Sus scrofa: one gene and its partner. The main gene of each other region encodes a partner of the protein of the gene in region 2 in a complex. Links are inferred from orthologs where the notes say so. Each region holds a gene or a part of one and is shown on either strand. Other genes may lie near its edges. The genes, in order: TAF12 and TAF3.

The links.
Region 1: TAF3 (region 2) and TAF12 share a complex: the UniProt entries of both Homo sapiens proteins name them as parts of the TFIID basal transcription factor complex. The link is inferred for Sus scrofa from reciprocal best matches to the Homo sapiens genes TAF3 and TAF12.

What each region holds. Positions count from the first base shown.
Region 1 is NC_010448.4:85,617,711-85,625,259, forward strand, and holds the end of TAF12 (transcription initiation factor TFIID subunit 12), read right to left. Parts: intron 6,820-7,549; coding exon 6,742-6,819; intron 4,721-6,741; coding exon 4,606-4,720; intron 3,544-4,605; coding exon 3,455-3,543; intron 1,452-3,454; coding exon 1,416-1,451; 3' UTR 969-1,415; downstream 1-968. UniProt on the Homo sapiens protein: The TFIID basal transcription factor complex plays a major role in the initiation of RNA polymerase II (Pol II)-dependent transcription.
Region 2 is NC_010452.4:63,456,177-63,463,725, forward strand, and holds part of TAF3 (transcription initiation factor TFIID subunit 3), read right to left. Parts: intron 5,582-7,549; coding exon 3,759-5,581; intron 1-3,758. UniProt on the Homo sapiens protein: The TFIID basal transcription factor complex plays a major role in the initiation of RNA polymerase II (Pol II)-dependent transcription.

The DNA of each region.
Region 1 (7,549 bases), on a different chromosome or scaffold from region 2:
CTGGATTCCTTCTTGCCTGCGGAGACCAGTGACTTGCTCCTACTGCTGGAACTTGGCGGGAGGCCTTTTTCACCTTTGTAATCACAAATAGAACATGCTTTGACAGCGTCCCCCAGCGGCAGCAGGAGGTTCTGGAGAAAGAAAACCCTCAACATCCTCTTCCTGGTGGCAGGCCACAACAGTGACCTGGTGGCTGAGCGACAGGTGCTGCTGGAGGAAGGGGAAAAGCTGGCTGCCTCTTTGGGCACTCACTACCTTGAGGTATCAGCCAACAGCAATGATGACATCAAGAGATCTACGAGGCTGTGAAGAGAGGGGTCATGGGGTCAAACTCAAAGCGGGAGAGAACAAAAAGCAGGGGCCCACCCCGGACCAAGCCTGAGGAGGCAGAGGCCCAAAGCAGGGCAAGGTGGATGTGCCCATGCTGGTGGCCCCTGGGTGGAAGAGCCACGCTCCCATGGAATCCTCACAATCCACCAGAGCTATGCTGGGCACAAAACAGGATGATGCCAGGTGCCACTGAAGGTCAGGACCTTGAGGTCTCAAGGGGCCTGGTTTCCTCCGCACGATGCTGAAAATACCAGGATCAGGGAGAGCAACAACTAAGAACAGATAGGCGCATGCACAGAAAGGCCTTTCCTCAAGGCCGCTGCCATCCTTTCTTAGGGTCAAGGATAAAATCCAGAAGTTCCAGAAGAGCAGGTCAAGAATGGATTTCCCAAAACCAGGATGCCTCTTCAGTTTGGGGCTCATGAGAGAAGGTCACCCTGCTCAATTCTTATGGCAGAGAAGCTGGACTCAAAGTTCTCCTGGTGGTAAGGCCTTCCTTGGAGAAAAATAATGGAAAAATCCCTGGGTTTTGCCTCCATCACAGAAATGAATAATGGTGCTGCCATCTGCTGACTAAAGAGCCACATCCAGCCTTGCTTATCCTATGGCATTTTAAAGGCTAGAAGCCATACACCCTGTGTCTTTTGACTAATAACTTCTTTATTCTGGAAAAGGAAATGAAAATCATATTCATATAAACACTGACATTACAAAGTACAGGGAAAAGGGGAAGGGAGAAGGAAAAAAAAATCTCTAAAATCTTGTTAATACTGCCTCACCAAACAAGACCATAATGCTTTGTCCCCTAGTCAATCACTTATATAATAAACCAAATAAAATCTTCTCTGGAAGATACACTGCTCTTCTTTGAGACGGGAGGAAAATGGGACTGGAAGTTGGGGTAGGAGGCTTTATTCTTTTGGCAGATCTTCTCAGTCATTATAGATATTGCTGCACTGTTAATAAAAAATATATGCTTCTCTGTAAAGCATTAAAAAAAAAAAAAATCCAAGGATGAGATGGCTGAGGTCTCAGCTCAAGTATCTCCAAATACATTGTTGTCCATTCCCTGACCTTTCCATGTGTTATTTCTTGGTTGTTTTCCGGATCAATGCCATTCTCTGAAAGGAGAGAAATAAGCAATTCCACAAGTTAGAGTCAGGAATTTTCTAGACCATCTATGTGTGGCTGCACCACAGGCTGAAACCCTCAGGAATTTATAGACACAGGGCAGCTCAGCAGACTCTTGGCTCAAGCACAGTCTATGGGGTCCTAAGAAATGTTTCACTAGGCCACTGGACCCATTTTATTGACCAAAAGACCCAAACTCCTCTATGCTAGCAGTATGGCAAAAATTAAAAAGTAGGAGTTCCCGTCGTGGCGCAGTGGTTAATGAATCCGACTAGGAACCATGAGGTTGCGGGTTCGGTCCCTGCCCTTGCTCAGTGGGTTAACGATCCGGCGTTGCCGTGAGCTGTGGTGTAGGTTGCAGGCGCGGCTCGGATCCTGCGTTGCTGTGGCTCTGGCGTAGGCCAGCGGCTACAGCTCTGATTCAACCCCTAGCCTGGGAACCTCCATATGCCGCGGGAGCGGCCCAAGAAATAGCAACAATAACAACAACAACAACAACAACAAAAAAAGACAAAAAAAAAAAAATTAAAAAGTAGAAGGTGACAGCTCTTGCCTTTTGAGGATTTAAGGGACAGGCCATCAAAACATGTTTTCTATGCTTATCCTCCCTTCCCCACTGTTTCTCTGATGATAATAAAACAGTGATGAGGCCTGTGTTTCAAGCCTGTTGCTACACATAAAAGGAACTGAGGAGTTCCCATTGTGCCTCAGCAGGTTAAGAACCCAACTAGTCCATGAGGATACAGGTTTAATCCCTGGCCTTGCTCAGTGGGTTAAGGATCCAACACTGCCGTGAGCTATGGTGTAGGTCACAGACACGGCTCGGATCTGGTGTTGCTGGGGCTGTGGCATAGGCTGGCAGCTGCAGCTCCTATTTGCCCCCTAGCCTGGGAATTTCCATATGCTGCAGTTGCAGCCCTATTAAAAAGAAAGAAAGAAAAAGAAGCTGACATTTCACACTCGATGATATACAATGAAGGAAAATGACCTCAAGGAGTTAAGGATCCGACGTACTGCCGTGGCTTGGGCTGCTGCTGTGGCGAGGGGTTAGATCCCTGGCCTGGGAACTTCTACATGCGGCAGGCATGTCCTGCCCAGTGACCCCAACGTCTTCCACTATAATCCATCAGGGAAACATTTAGATCATGGGTTTCAAATTTTACTATTATCAGCCAAACTAATGACTTGCCTTTGCCTAGTCCTTTTGACTAAGCGATTGTTTCAACATTATAAAATTTATTGACTGATAAATAAATAAGGCTGAACATTTGGGACCAGAGACAATGCCTTCTGAAGAACACTGCAATCCTTTGATGCAGGCTGTTGGTGGCCTCCTTGTAGGGCTTCTCTATGAGCTCTATAAACACCCCTGCTCCAGAGACCCCAGGCTATGGAAAAGCAAGGTATATTTAGCCAGGACTGCCCACTTGTGCCTGTCAAGCTTGGAAAAAGCCTACTTTCCAATCAGAGTATCTGGTTAAATTAAGACTTGTCAAATGGAGGCCAACATTGCTATCAGACTGACCAATGACAGAGACAGCTTGACCCCTCAGTTCTGCAGTAAGATGGACAGAGGACAAAAGTTAAGCTGGGAAAGAGGCCCGAATGCCTGGGTGTCACCTCCTAGCACAAGTGCAACACACTTCTGCTTTCCTTAAAATTCCCTCAATATGATGTTCAAATCAGCAACAATGAAGGAAGATTTCATAAAAGAGAGGTGGTGGTGGTGAGTTCCACCCATATTAGAAAAACCTAGAATCAACTGCTTTAAGTGACACCCATCAGAATTGAGGAAAAGACCTGAGACTCCATGTGGGAACAGCAAAGCACCCAGGAAATATCAGGCTGATCTCCCATGGAGCCTTGCTGCTTCTTGGCCTCTCTGGCCTTTGGGGAAAGTGACACCTGCAGTGATGGTAGCTGTGTGCATTCCCTCTGAGACACAGCTCAAGGGCTCTGATGTGGCTGCCCTGAGACCCTGAAGACTTCTCACCTGTTTATGAGCTTCTGTGGTGCAAGCTTTTTTGTAGGGTCGGATTTCTTCAGAGCCGAACCCTGGGATCCACATGTTCCACTGGCGTTCTGCAAGGAAGAGGCCCACACAGAGTTAAGAGGACCAGGAAGGCAGCATGAGGGGCAGTGTGACCCTCAGACAAGGGTCAAGAAGGACTAATCTGGGTGATCAACTGAACTAATTAACAGGAACTCTGCCGAGGGTTCTATGCAACACAAATGGGGGAATTGCATATGACGCCTCCAAGGTTTTAAAGAACACCATTTGAACTTCTTGCAAAGAAAAAAGAGGTAAATGAGTCAAAACTTTGAGTGTAGGGGTCCTATGGTTTCCATGCAGCTCTACAGGAAAGGAACATTATCTGTTTCTTCAATGGTCTTGCCCCCTATGCTCAAGGTAACCCCTCTCAAATCCAAAGGAGCAGGAACAGAAAGGCACTCCAAACAAGGTGGAGTTAAGAGTCAAGTCCCAGCTCTACTGCTTCACTGTGGAGCAGTATGATGTTGGGTCTCAGTTTCTTCATCTTTTATATGGTAGTAACAACAGAAATAACCATGTGATCGGGTGGGTGGTTGAGAGCCTTCAATGGCATAATCCCAGAGCCTGGGATAAATACATAGAGATACAGATATAGACACAGGCATGTCCACATCATAGCTCCATGTCCTTGTGCCATTGGACATGACTATCCCTATAAGACTGTCACTAGGAAGTTACCATCCCTGTAAGACTGTCACTACAAGTTACCAGTCTTTCTTCCTTCCTTCCTTTTATTTTTATTAAAAAAAAAAATTTTTTTTTTTTGGTCTTTTTAGGGCCACACTTGCAGCATATGGAGGTTCCCAGGCTGGGGATCAAATTGGAGCTGTAGCCACCGGCCTTCACCAGAGCCACAGCAACTCAGGATCCCAGTTGCGTCTGCAGCCTACACCATAGCTCACGGCAATGCTGGATCCTTAACCACTGAGCGAGGCCAGGGATTGAACCCACGTCCTTGTGGATCCTAGTCAGGTTCGTTAACCACTGAGCCATGAAGGGAACTCCCCAAAGTCCAAAAGTTTGATCAGGTTCCTGCAGGCTCCTAAAGGAACTAAAGTGTGGATCCCTCAGGGGGAAATGAGACCACCTACCTAGATGCAGCTGGACATCCTTTACTTCCAGTGTGCTGGACTTGCGATGCCGAGCAAGCTGGCAGGCTGCTGTCACCACGCTCTCGATAAAATCATCAGCGATCTGCAGCAGCATCTGGGGGAAAAAGGTGGGGGAGAGTAACCAAGACATTGGCAGGGTAGGCTCCTGTTGCTGGGACAACTGAACCGCATATTTAGTCAGGTTTTCTAGCAGAGGGTCTGGAAATCAACATTTGAGCGAAGGTGGGGAAAAGGACTGAGGACAACAAAAGAAAGACATCAACTCATTAACCAGGTGGAGAGAAACTCACACCTCTCTGAGGATGTACTTTCTGTATTTCTACCCAGCAGGGAACAACCAGCCCACCCCTACCCACCCCCCTATATCTTCTTCTGAATTACGTAGGAAAATACAAGTGAATCACTAATTCCTCATTCCTTTATTTAATTAATTTATTTACTTATGGCCACGCCCACAGAATGTGGAATTTTCCAGGCCAGGGGTTGAACCTGCACCACAGTAGCAACCGCAACCTGAGCTGCTGCAGCAATGCTGGATCCTTAGCCCACAGCATCACAAGAGAATTTCATCTTTCATATTCTAAAGGTTTTTTGTTTTGTTTTGTTTTGTTTTGTTTTGGTCTTTTTAGGTGCCACATCCATGGTATATGGAAACTTCTAGGCTGGGGATCAAATCATAGCTGTAGCTGCTGGCCTACACCACAGCTACAGCAATGCCAGATCCAAGCTGTGTCTGCAACCTACACCACAGCTCAGAGCAACACCGGATCCTTGACCCACTGAGCGAAACCAGGGATCGAACCTGCATCCTCATGGGTACTAGTCGGGATCCCTAACCACTGAGCCACGACAGGAACTTCTCCACACATGTGGCACATGTAACAGTGGTTTAACAAATTCTCCGAGTACCCGTTGTAGCTCAGTGGCAACAAATCTGACTAGCATCCACAAGAGCACAGGTTCGATCCCTGGCCTTGCTCAGTTGGTTAAGGATCTGGCTTTGCCATGAGCTGTGGTGTAAGTTGCAGACTCGGCTTGGATTCTGAGTTGCTGTGGCTGTGGTGTAGGCTGGCAGCTGTAGCTCCGACTGGACCCCTAGCCTGGGAATCTCCATACACTGAGGGTGTGGCTCTAAAAAGACCCCCAAAAAAAAAATTCTCATCTACCATAATAGGAAGTCTATGACTATTATAAAATTAATTAACCAAAAATATGTTTAAATATACTACTTAGAAATATGGAGGAATGTTCTAGAAACAATTAAAATTGTTAAAAGTGAGTTGAAAATTGTTAAGACTTCCTACCAACACAGGAGGAAGCTGAATCTCACCCACAGAACCAAAACTCAAATTCAGATTTGTTTGCCTCTGAAGTCTGTGCTTTTATTTATTTTTTTTTCTTATGACCACACCCATAGCATATGGAAGTTCCCAGGCCAGGGACTGGATCTGAGCCACATAGCACCAAACTGGGGACTGAACCCACACTTGTGCTGCAACCCAAGCCATCAGAGTCGGATTCTCAACCCACTGTGCCATAGTAGCAACTCCTAAAGTCTGTGTTCTTTTTTTTTCTTTTTTAGGGCTGCACCAGGAGGTTCCCAGGCTAGGGGTCCAGTTGGTGCTACAGCCGCCAGCCTACACCACAGCAACACAGCAATACCAGATCCTTAACCCACTGAGCGAGGCCAGGGATCAAACCCCCAACCTCATGGTTCCTGGTCAGATTCGTTTCTGTTGTGCCATGAAAGGAACTCTCTAAAGTCTGTGTTCTTTTTTCTTTTTTTTGTCTTTTTTGTTTGTCTTTTCTAGGGCCACACCCATGGCACATGGAGGTACCCAGGCTAGGGGTCTAATCGGAGCTACAGCTGCTGGCCTACGCCAGAGCCATAGCAACTCGGGATCCGAGTAGCGTCTGCGACCTACACCACAGCCCATGGCAATGCCGGATCCTTAACCCACTAAGCAGGCCAGGGATCAAACCCGCAACCTCATGGTTCCTAGTCGGATTCGTTAACCACTGCGCCACGAGGGGAACTCCAAGTCTGTGTTCTTAACAGCTATTCAATACTACTTCTCAGTGACACAGTCTCTAGGGTACCCAACCCCACTTTACCTCCTCCACATCTTCATCCAATTGCTCATTAGGATCCACTTCTCTTACTAAGTCTTGTAATTTCTTCTTGGTCAATACCTAGAGTTAATTGGAAGAACAATTTTCAGCCAAGTATCAAACAAACAAACTCATTACCCTATAATGAAGACTGACAACTTGCTGGGTTTAGTTTCTACTTTCCAAAGAATTATCAATCTGGCGTACCTGATGGTATTACTAAAAGAAAAAAAAAAGGAAAAGAAAGACTATGTTCTCAAGATAGAAGTAGCCTAAGGAAAGGCAGAAAGAACAATATGGAAGAGAGGCCAACATCTGTCAGGTAGTTTATTAAATGCTACATTAATGTGTAATTTTCTGACCACACAAATCATACAGTGCCTCTGCTGACATCGGACATGCTCTTCCACCCTTCCTCCTATGTGCTCAGGTGACAAACTGTCTAATGCTTTTCCTAGCCTACCCAGGCAAAAGCAACCACTTCCTCCTTTGGCCTCTACTGTACTCTGTGTACCCTTCTACCATTGTGTACATTTATAAACTTGTCAGTTTCTTTTTCTTGTCTTTCGTCTTTCCAGGGCTGCGCCACGGCACATGGAGGTTCCCAGGCGAGGAGTCTAATTGGAGCTGTAGCTGCCGACCTATGCCAGAGCCACAGCAACACCAGGTCCTTAACCCACTGAGTGAGGCCAGGGATCAAACCCGAAACCTCATGGTTACTAGTCAGATTCGTTTCTGCTTCGTCACAACGTGAACTCCCCTCTTTCCTTTTTTTTTTTTACCTGGCCGAGCCTGCAGCATGTGGAAGTTC
Region 2 (7,549 bases):
GGCGCAGTGGTTAATGAATCTGACTAGGAACCATGAGGTTGCGGGTTAGGTCCCTGCCCTTGCTCAGTGGGTTGAGGATCCGGTGTTGCCGTGAGCTGTGGTGTAGGCTGCAGAGGCGGCTTGGATCCCGCGTTGCAGTGGCTCTGGCGCAGGCCACTGTCTGCAACTCCGATTCGACCCCTAGCCTGGGAACCTCCATATGCCGTGGGAGCAGCCCAAAGAAATAGCAAAACAGGAAAAAAAAAAAAAAAATTAACTGCTCTGAAATTTTCTGTTAGGTTTCTCACAGCTCAAGCTACTATGGTTAACTCTGTGACTGCTCTCAATATGTTTTCCATACAAGGTTATTTATTTATTTATTTTTGGCCTTGCCTATGGCATGCAGAAGTTCTGGGGTCAGGAAGTGAATCCACGCCACAGCAGTGACAACAGTGGATGCTCAACCTGTTAGGCCACCACAGAGCTCTCCATTTGGTTCTACATTAAACAGGTGAGATACCAGACTCCTGACCCCGACTAAAGCACACGGCTGCCCATGAAAGGCAACTAAAAGACTTGTAAACCACCATACCTGCTTAAAGACATCGGTTCTAGCAGCCGATGGCCTGGGCTGAAGCTGTGGCTCCTGTTCAATCACTTTCTGGGTGTGTGACCTTGGGCAAGTTTATCAGTCTCATCTCTAAGACTCAGTTTCTTATCTTAAAGGGACAGTAATTATATTATCTACCTGAGGGAGTTGTGATAAGAACTAAACTTATACACGGTGTTTCAGTAATGACACAAACCAGTTTTACTGAGGTTATTTAATATATATAAACGTAATAGTTAATACTACTGAGTATTTCAAAAAACTCAGTTTTTCAAAAAGTGCTATTTATGGTGCTTCAAAGATGAAATACCTAAGGATTAAAGAAACTAAAACACCTCACTCAGGCCTGCCTGATTCCAAAGCCCAAGCCTTGTCCTAACTGCTATGCAGATTCTCATCTAATTAATGATATCTTTATTTGTTCTTGTACTGATAAATACAGGTATGACTAAAGAAAACTTTACAGGTAGGTAAAATAAACATGGGTGGGTTTTTTTTTTTTTTTTTTAATTAAAAAACAGTGTCCTTGGAATTTCCCGAGGGCCTAGGGGTTACGGATCCTGCATCGCCGCAGCAGTTCGGGTCACTGCTGTGGCTCAGACTCGATCCCTGGCACGAGAACTTCCACACGCCGTAGGTACAGCCAAACAAACAAACAAAACCAATGGCCTTGCTCGCTGACCGGGGTCACTGTCCACGGAGCTGCTCTGCGAGCTGGTCGGGAGCAGGAGTAAGCAAACGGTGGCCCTCGTTCTTTTGACTACATTTTTTGGGGGGCAGCTTAGATATGTCTCGTCTTGATTAACTCTTGTCTTACTTCTGTGGATACCTGAGAAAAGTCATAGATCACATGCAACCCAGTTTCAAGTACCTTCTCCTTCACTCACACGGCTTGGTACTTTGCAGAGGATGAAGGGGAGTTGAAAAAAGAGAAGCCTGAACCTCTCAATGTCTACTCCTTGTCAAAGGCGTTCCATGGGTTACACAAACCCTCGCCACAAAAAGGGCCAACGTTTAAAAGAGTGCCAAGGAAGCAGACGCTCTGGAAACACTGTAGCCATCGCTGACACCCTCTTGTGCACAGGTCGGTCCCTCGGGTCCAGTGGAGCCGTGAACTCGACGCAGGTTCCTATACGTTTTTCGGGTTGACGCCGAAGGGAACCACCACGCCCGCCACGGCCAGCCCCACCTTCCCCGCTTACTGAGCATTTCTTTCTGCGCCAGAAACAGGAGCAGGCCAGTCTCAGATGCCAGCTCCTTTAATCCTCACATAAGCAATGTGCCCAAGTTCACAGGGCTGAAAAAGTCAGGACCGGAACCCGGATTTGCCTCTAGACACAATACTGTTTATTATTGTTTAAGCCCCGATGGCTGCCTTTTACATGTTTTTATCTTTTGTCACCAGGCTGATCCATCAACACTGACACAAGGACTTGTATTCCTCTGTCAGGTGAAGCCTGCAGCTCGTAACGGAGCCTTTACCTCCGACCCAAGTGGTCTGAGTGAGGGGCTCGTCTTTCCCAAAGTCCGCAGGTGCTGGGTAGGCACGCCGTGGACCGCGCTCCATCTAACCTGACGGGCTCTCCTCAAATCCGTAACAGCCACTCTGGGCAACTCCACTGACTTTCCAAAGGTGAGGTGGTGGTGAAAGCAATGCACCCTGATTTGCCAAGGGCTCATGAGCCAAGTTCCCAGGCACCTGATGGGTAAGTGCTGACTGCTGCCAGGCAGGATCAGGAGCAGTAAACACTGCACAAGGGGACGTCAGTCAGTGTGGACCTGACCTGGCTCCTGCTGGTTGTGTGACCTTGACCTTGGACAAGTCACGCAGGCTGTTGCTCGTCTATACATGTTGATGACAATACCTGCTGCTAGGTCAAGGGTGTGTCAGGAGGAGAAACTAAGTTATGTGGTAGCACCTTAAAATCTTCCAGGTACCACGTAGAAATAACTGAATGATAAAACGACTTCCAAGTGGGGAAAAAGAGCTGAATTTCTGTGTCTCCTTAACTGCCAATATTCAGTTATCAATGTCGGAATTTCCATCCCACTTCTTTATATTTTAGAATAATAGCCAAGAGGGACACAGAAAGAAGAGTTAGGCAGAAAAACGGGTGAGTGGTCATCTCTGCTTGTCAGCCAAACTAAGTTTTCCAGTTAAGCCTGAAATTAAAAACACTGCAAAAGTGTTGGTAATAGAACTGCTGTAGGTCAAACAGAGCATGCTTTATTATGTGGAAAAAATTACTGGGTATTACTCTGTAGCCAGCCTCAAAGAGGAGTGTTTCCAGAACACAGAGCAAGAATCTAAGGATCATCACAGATGCACCACAGACAACTATGCTTTTTAAGAAAGTTTAAAGGAAACTTTCAAATCAACCAGGCAACCACTGTAGTCCCCAAACCGTGCACAGACAGCAAAGCTATAAAAGCAGAGGTCCCGTCCTGTGCCCAAAGGATGAGGGTCTGGGTTCCCGTGAGACCGCGGGGTGTGCCTCGGTTCCTTTGGCCGTATTCTCCAGAAGCCTGGCTGCTTACACGGGGAAATAGGACTTTCTACCCGCCAACCAGCTGCCAGGCCAGCTGGATGCTCAGAGACACGTCCTGGTCTGACTGAAGCGGGAAAGAGGAGACAAGATCCTCCTACAGGGAGACAGGCCAGACCTTGCGCTCTGGCCAGGACGGCTCACCAAGACGAAAAGCCAGTGGGCGAGGAAGGACCCCAGAGGCCTTCCTGTCCCCTTGGGACAGTGCCGCAGGTTTGCGACTCTCAGAAAAGTGGACGCTGCCTTTTCGGGTGTCTAATGTTTGGGTAGAGAGGAGTCTGCACTGGGCTTGATAATGACACAAATATTACTTGCCTTGAGGGTCACGGATTTTTATACCGGCCAGAGATCAGTACGGTTAAGAGAGAGCTGATGGTCTGTGATTGGCGTCCTCCCAGGCTATGAATTTTTAACGTTTGCCAGGGTCTAGGGGGCTTGAGGACAGGTTTACGGGGTTTGAGAATTAAAGTTAAGCTTTGTAAACACACGGCAAGACATGTTTCCAGTGAGGTTGTGAGTGCTTTCCCCGGCAAACGGCAGGCCAGCGGCCGGCTCTGAGTACCCGTGTTCCCCCCAGGGCTCGGTCGGGACGGGGCCCCAGGGCCCCAAGGGGAGCTGCTTACTTTTTCGTGCTTGTGCTTCTCCTTCTCCTTCTCCCGCTTCTCCCGCTCTCTCTTCTCCTTCTCCCGCTCCCGCTCCTTCTTCTCCTTCTCCTTCTCCCGCTCCTTCTTCTTCTTCTTCTCCTTTTTGTCCTTTTTCCTGTCTTTCTCCTTGGGCTTCTCCTTCTCCTCGAGCAGCTTCTCGGGGAGCAGGGGCGACAGGGCCGGGAGCGTGGCGGGGACGCGCAGGGCCGCGGTGGGGCTGAACAGGGGCAGCGCCGCGTCCTTCGGGGGCAGCGCCAGGGCGCCGGAGGGCACCTTCAGCTTCTCATCCCGCCCTCTGTCCCTCGCTTTCTCTCTGTCCCGCTTCTCTTTGTCCTTCTTGCCCTTTTCTCTGTCTTTCTTCTTATCCTTATGCTTCTCCTTTTCCTTTCTCGCGAGTCCATCTTTCAATCTCCCTTTGGGGTCCACGTCCTCAAACTCCTTGATCTTAAACTTGTAGGGGTCGGCCTCCTCGTCTTTCAGGAAGTCCTTCCAAGGATGCTTGGTCTCCTTGCTGGCTTCCCTTTCCTTCTCCTTGTCCTTCCCCTTCTCTTTGCTCTTGTCCTTGCTTTTGTCCCTGTCCCTCTCCTTGTCTCGCTGCTTTTCCTTCTTTTTCATCTTCGTCTTCAGTTCCTTTTTCAACTTCTTTTTGACGTCTGCGGAGGACGGCGGCTTGGGCTTCTCCTCGTACACCTTGTGGAGAGGCTCGGGGGTGGGAGGAGAGATGGAAGGAGAGGAGATGGGAGGGAAGCCGGGGGGCACGCTGGGGGGCGTCCCCAGCTTGGCCTTCCTGACCACCTCGTCGATGGAGGCGTCCATGGTCCATGAGTTGTCAGAGCTCGAGGTTCCGCCCGAAAGAGGCCGAGGCGTGGACCCTGACTTGGGGAAGTTGTTTGAGGAGGCGGAAGCTTGCGGAGTAGTACATTCTGAACCTGAAATTCTCTTCGGGCTGGTGAAAAGGTCTCCTTCTGATTCTGATCCAGAGGAGAATTCGAAAGGATCTGGCTCCCGCTCGGCACAAGCTCGCGCAATCACGGCATCGATGGAGTCGTCAATGGTCTTATCGGTCACGACGGCCTTTTTCGGCTGAGTCTCGTTGTTCAGTTTCCCAGCATCGGGGGGAGCTTGTATTTGTTTTACCTGAATGGTCTCTCTACTCGTTTTTTCACTTACTGTGGCTGAAGGAGTCCTGTTTGGTGTTTCAGGTCTGATGGGGATTTGGGGGAGAGGAGTCATAACCTTGGGACTCTTGGGGCTTTTGGGGCTCTTAGAACGTCCAGGAGACTTCTTTTCTTTGGATAGAGTTTTTGGTGACCGAATAGGACTTCCGACCATTGCTGGTGACTGAGTCGTTTTAGGCGATTTAGCCTTCTGTCCTGGAGAAGTAGTTTTAGTCTTTGTTTTGGGGGTAAACGACTTTGCTTCCAGTGGCTTTGCGGTTGGCATCTGTGATTTTGCCACCGGAGCTAACATGGGCGGCTCTGGTGACGGAGGCGCGAGGTCCGCGCTGTCCTGGACGTGGACGGGAGAGAGCATTGGCGGGATCTTCTGGGTGTTGATCGAGCTGAGCGGTTCTCGGGCTTCCTGCAACACCACGTCCAGGGTGTCTCCTTTGCTGCTTATCAGGCGAGGCCGCTTCATGGCAGGCAGTTCTTCAGCTTCCGGACTGTCCAGCGGTCTCTTACCCAAGAAGTTCTCATCGTTAATAATTTCCTCCTCCTCCAGCTCGTCATCTTCTTCCAAGGGAACCTGCATGGCCTCTGCCGATGTGCCCCCATCGGTGGGCACCTGCTCTTCTTCTTCTTCTGGTAAAGGAAGAAAAAGAAGTTATTAGAATATACATATTTTTTAAAACCTTGAGAAATAAAAACAATGCTTTGAACATGACTTCAGGGAAAGAAAAGAAATTACGGACAGTGTCTAGAGAGTGAAGCGGTACGTTTCCTAGGATCTTGCAGACTCACACCCCTTTGCTGTCCAAAGAGTGGAGACTCAGGACAGCAGACACCAAACTCTACTCCTTTCCAGAGGCGTGGCCCTCCTTGCGGGATCTGGAGCTTGCTAAGTATTTCCCGGGTGCCCTCTGCTTCCTTTATTAATTCTTCTCCTAACCTGACGAAGCCCTGTCTTTCTCTTTTCCTCTTCCTCTTGTGTACACGAATTCAGGCACACACAGGTGCACACGCGCACATACCACACACACACAAACCCCTACAAATCCAGAGATGGGTTATTATATGGCTACTATCCTCAGAAATGACAGAAAGGTGTACTTTTTTTTTTTAGAACTTTCAAAACAATTTTTTTTTTTTTGTCTTTTTCTTTTCTAGGACCGCTCCCGTGGCATATGGAGGTTCCCAGACTAGGGGTCCAATCGGAGCTGCAGCCACCGCTGCAGAGCCACATCAACGCAGGATCCAAGCCGCGTCTGCAACCTACACCACAGCTCACGGCAATGCCAGATCCTCAACCCACTGAGCAAGGCCAGGGACCGAACCCGCAACCTCACGGTTCCTAGTCGGATTCGTTAACCACTGAGCCACGACAGGAACTCCTCAAAACAAAATTTTAATTCTCGGAGTTTGGAAAATGTAAACCTCTGACCTAGCACCATTCATCTGCTACTTACGTCTTCTTTCCGCTTGCTTGAGGTCAGCTACCTTGAGAGGTGGCGTGGTGAAGTCAGAGACACTGGCTTGGCGTTAGAAAGAGGCATTTCAGCAGGCGTTCGGGCACCACAGGGCAATCTCTTAGCCTCTTTGTGGCTGCTTCCTGACCTTTCAAAAGGGGCTAATGTTACCTGCCTTGCTTACTTGACTGAGTTGCTATAGGAGCAGATCCTTTCTGTCTACACGTATTACCTTGAGCATATATACCAGGCATAGCGCACAATGCTAACGGCTGAAGGAGCTACTGGGCTAAGTCAGAAATAAATCATGAGCTAAAAGAGCTTACAGTTTAGCAAGAGACACCACACAGAACGTGGCATGGACCGTAAGGTAGATAAAGTGCTCGAGTAGTTCAAGGGAGAAACGGATTACCTTCATGTCCAAGATCTGGAAAAAAATGTGACTACTTACGCAGCGTTTTAGATATCTGGAGACTGGGAATGGTAAAGCACAGGAAGAAAGAGATGACACAGGGAGGTATGCGCGTGGGGAGCTGTTTAAGACCACGGGATAAGGTGTCTGGAAAGCAGCGTGCAAAACGGGAAACTGGAGAAAGTAAGTTTAGCAAGCTGACATGCAGATCCTAGAAGTTCTCAATTCCAGAGCAATGCCGGTGATCCTTATGCAACTGGTAGTTTCAACCTCGTCAAGATATTTCGACAAGGGAGAGAAATGCCTGGAGTATGTGTTAGCAGGATTATTCGGGCAGGAATATATATGATGGATGGGAGAAACTGGATACTAATGGAGAGGGGACAGGTTAGGGGTTGAGGAGTGATATAGGTAAGCAACCATAGGGTTGGAAGTAGAGTAGCGGTAACAAAAAAAAGGTCGATGATATTTTGAAGATAGAATGAATAGAATCTGATAAATGATTAGGTATAAGAGTAGAGGAAGGATTTAAACCCAGTTTTAAGGCTTTGGACCCTGGTGAATGAGAAATGTAGTCATAAAAATAAACAAGAAGTAAAGAAATAGGGAAGGAAGATTTTAATTAGCTCAATCGCTGCAAATACACTAAATGTTCAGAAAACAGGACAGGAAGTGGGGGGCGGGGGTCTTTGTGGAGATAAATGAAATCAAATAACGGATACCATCAGCAAG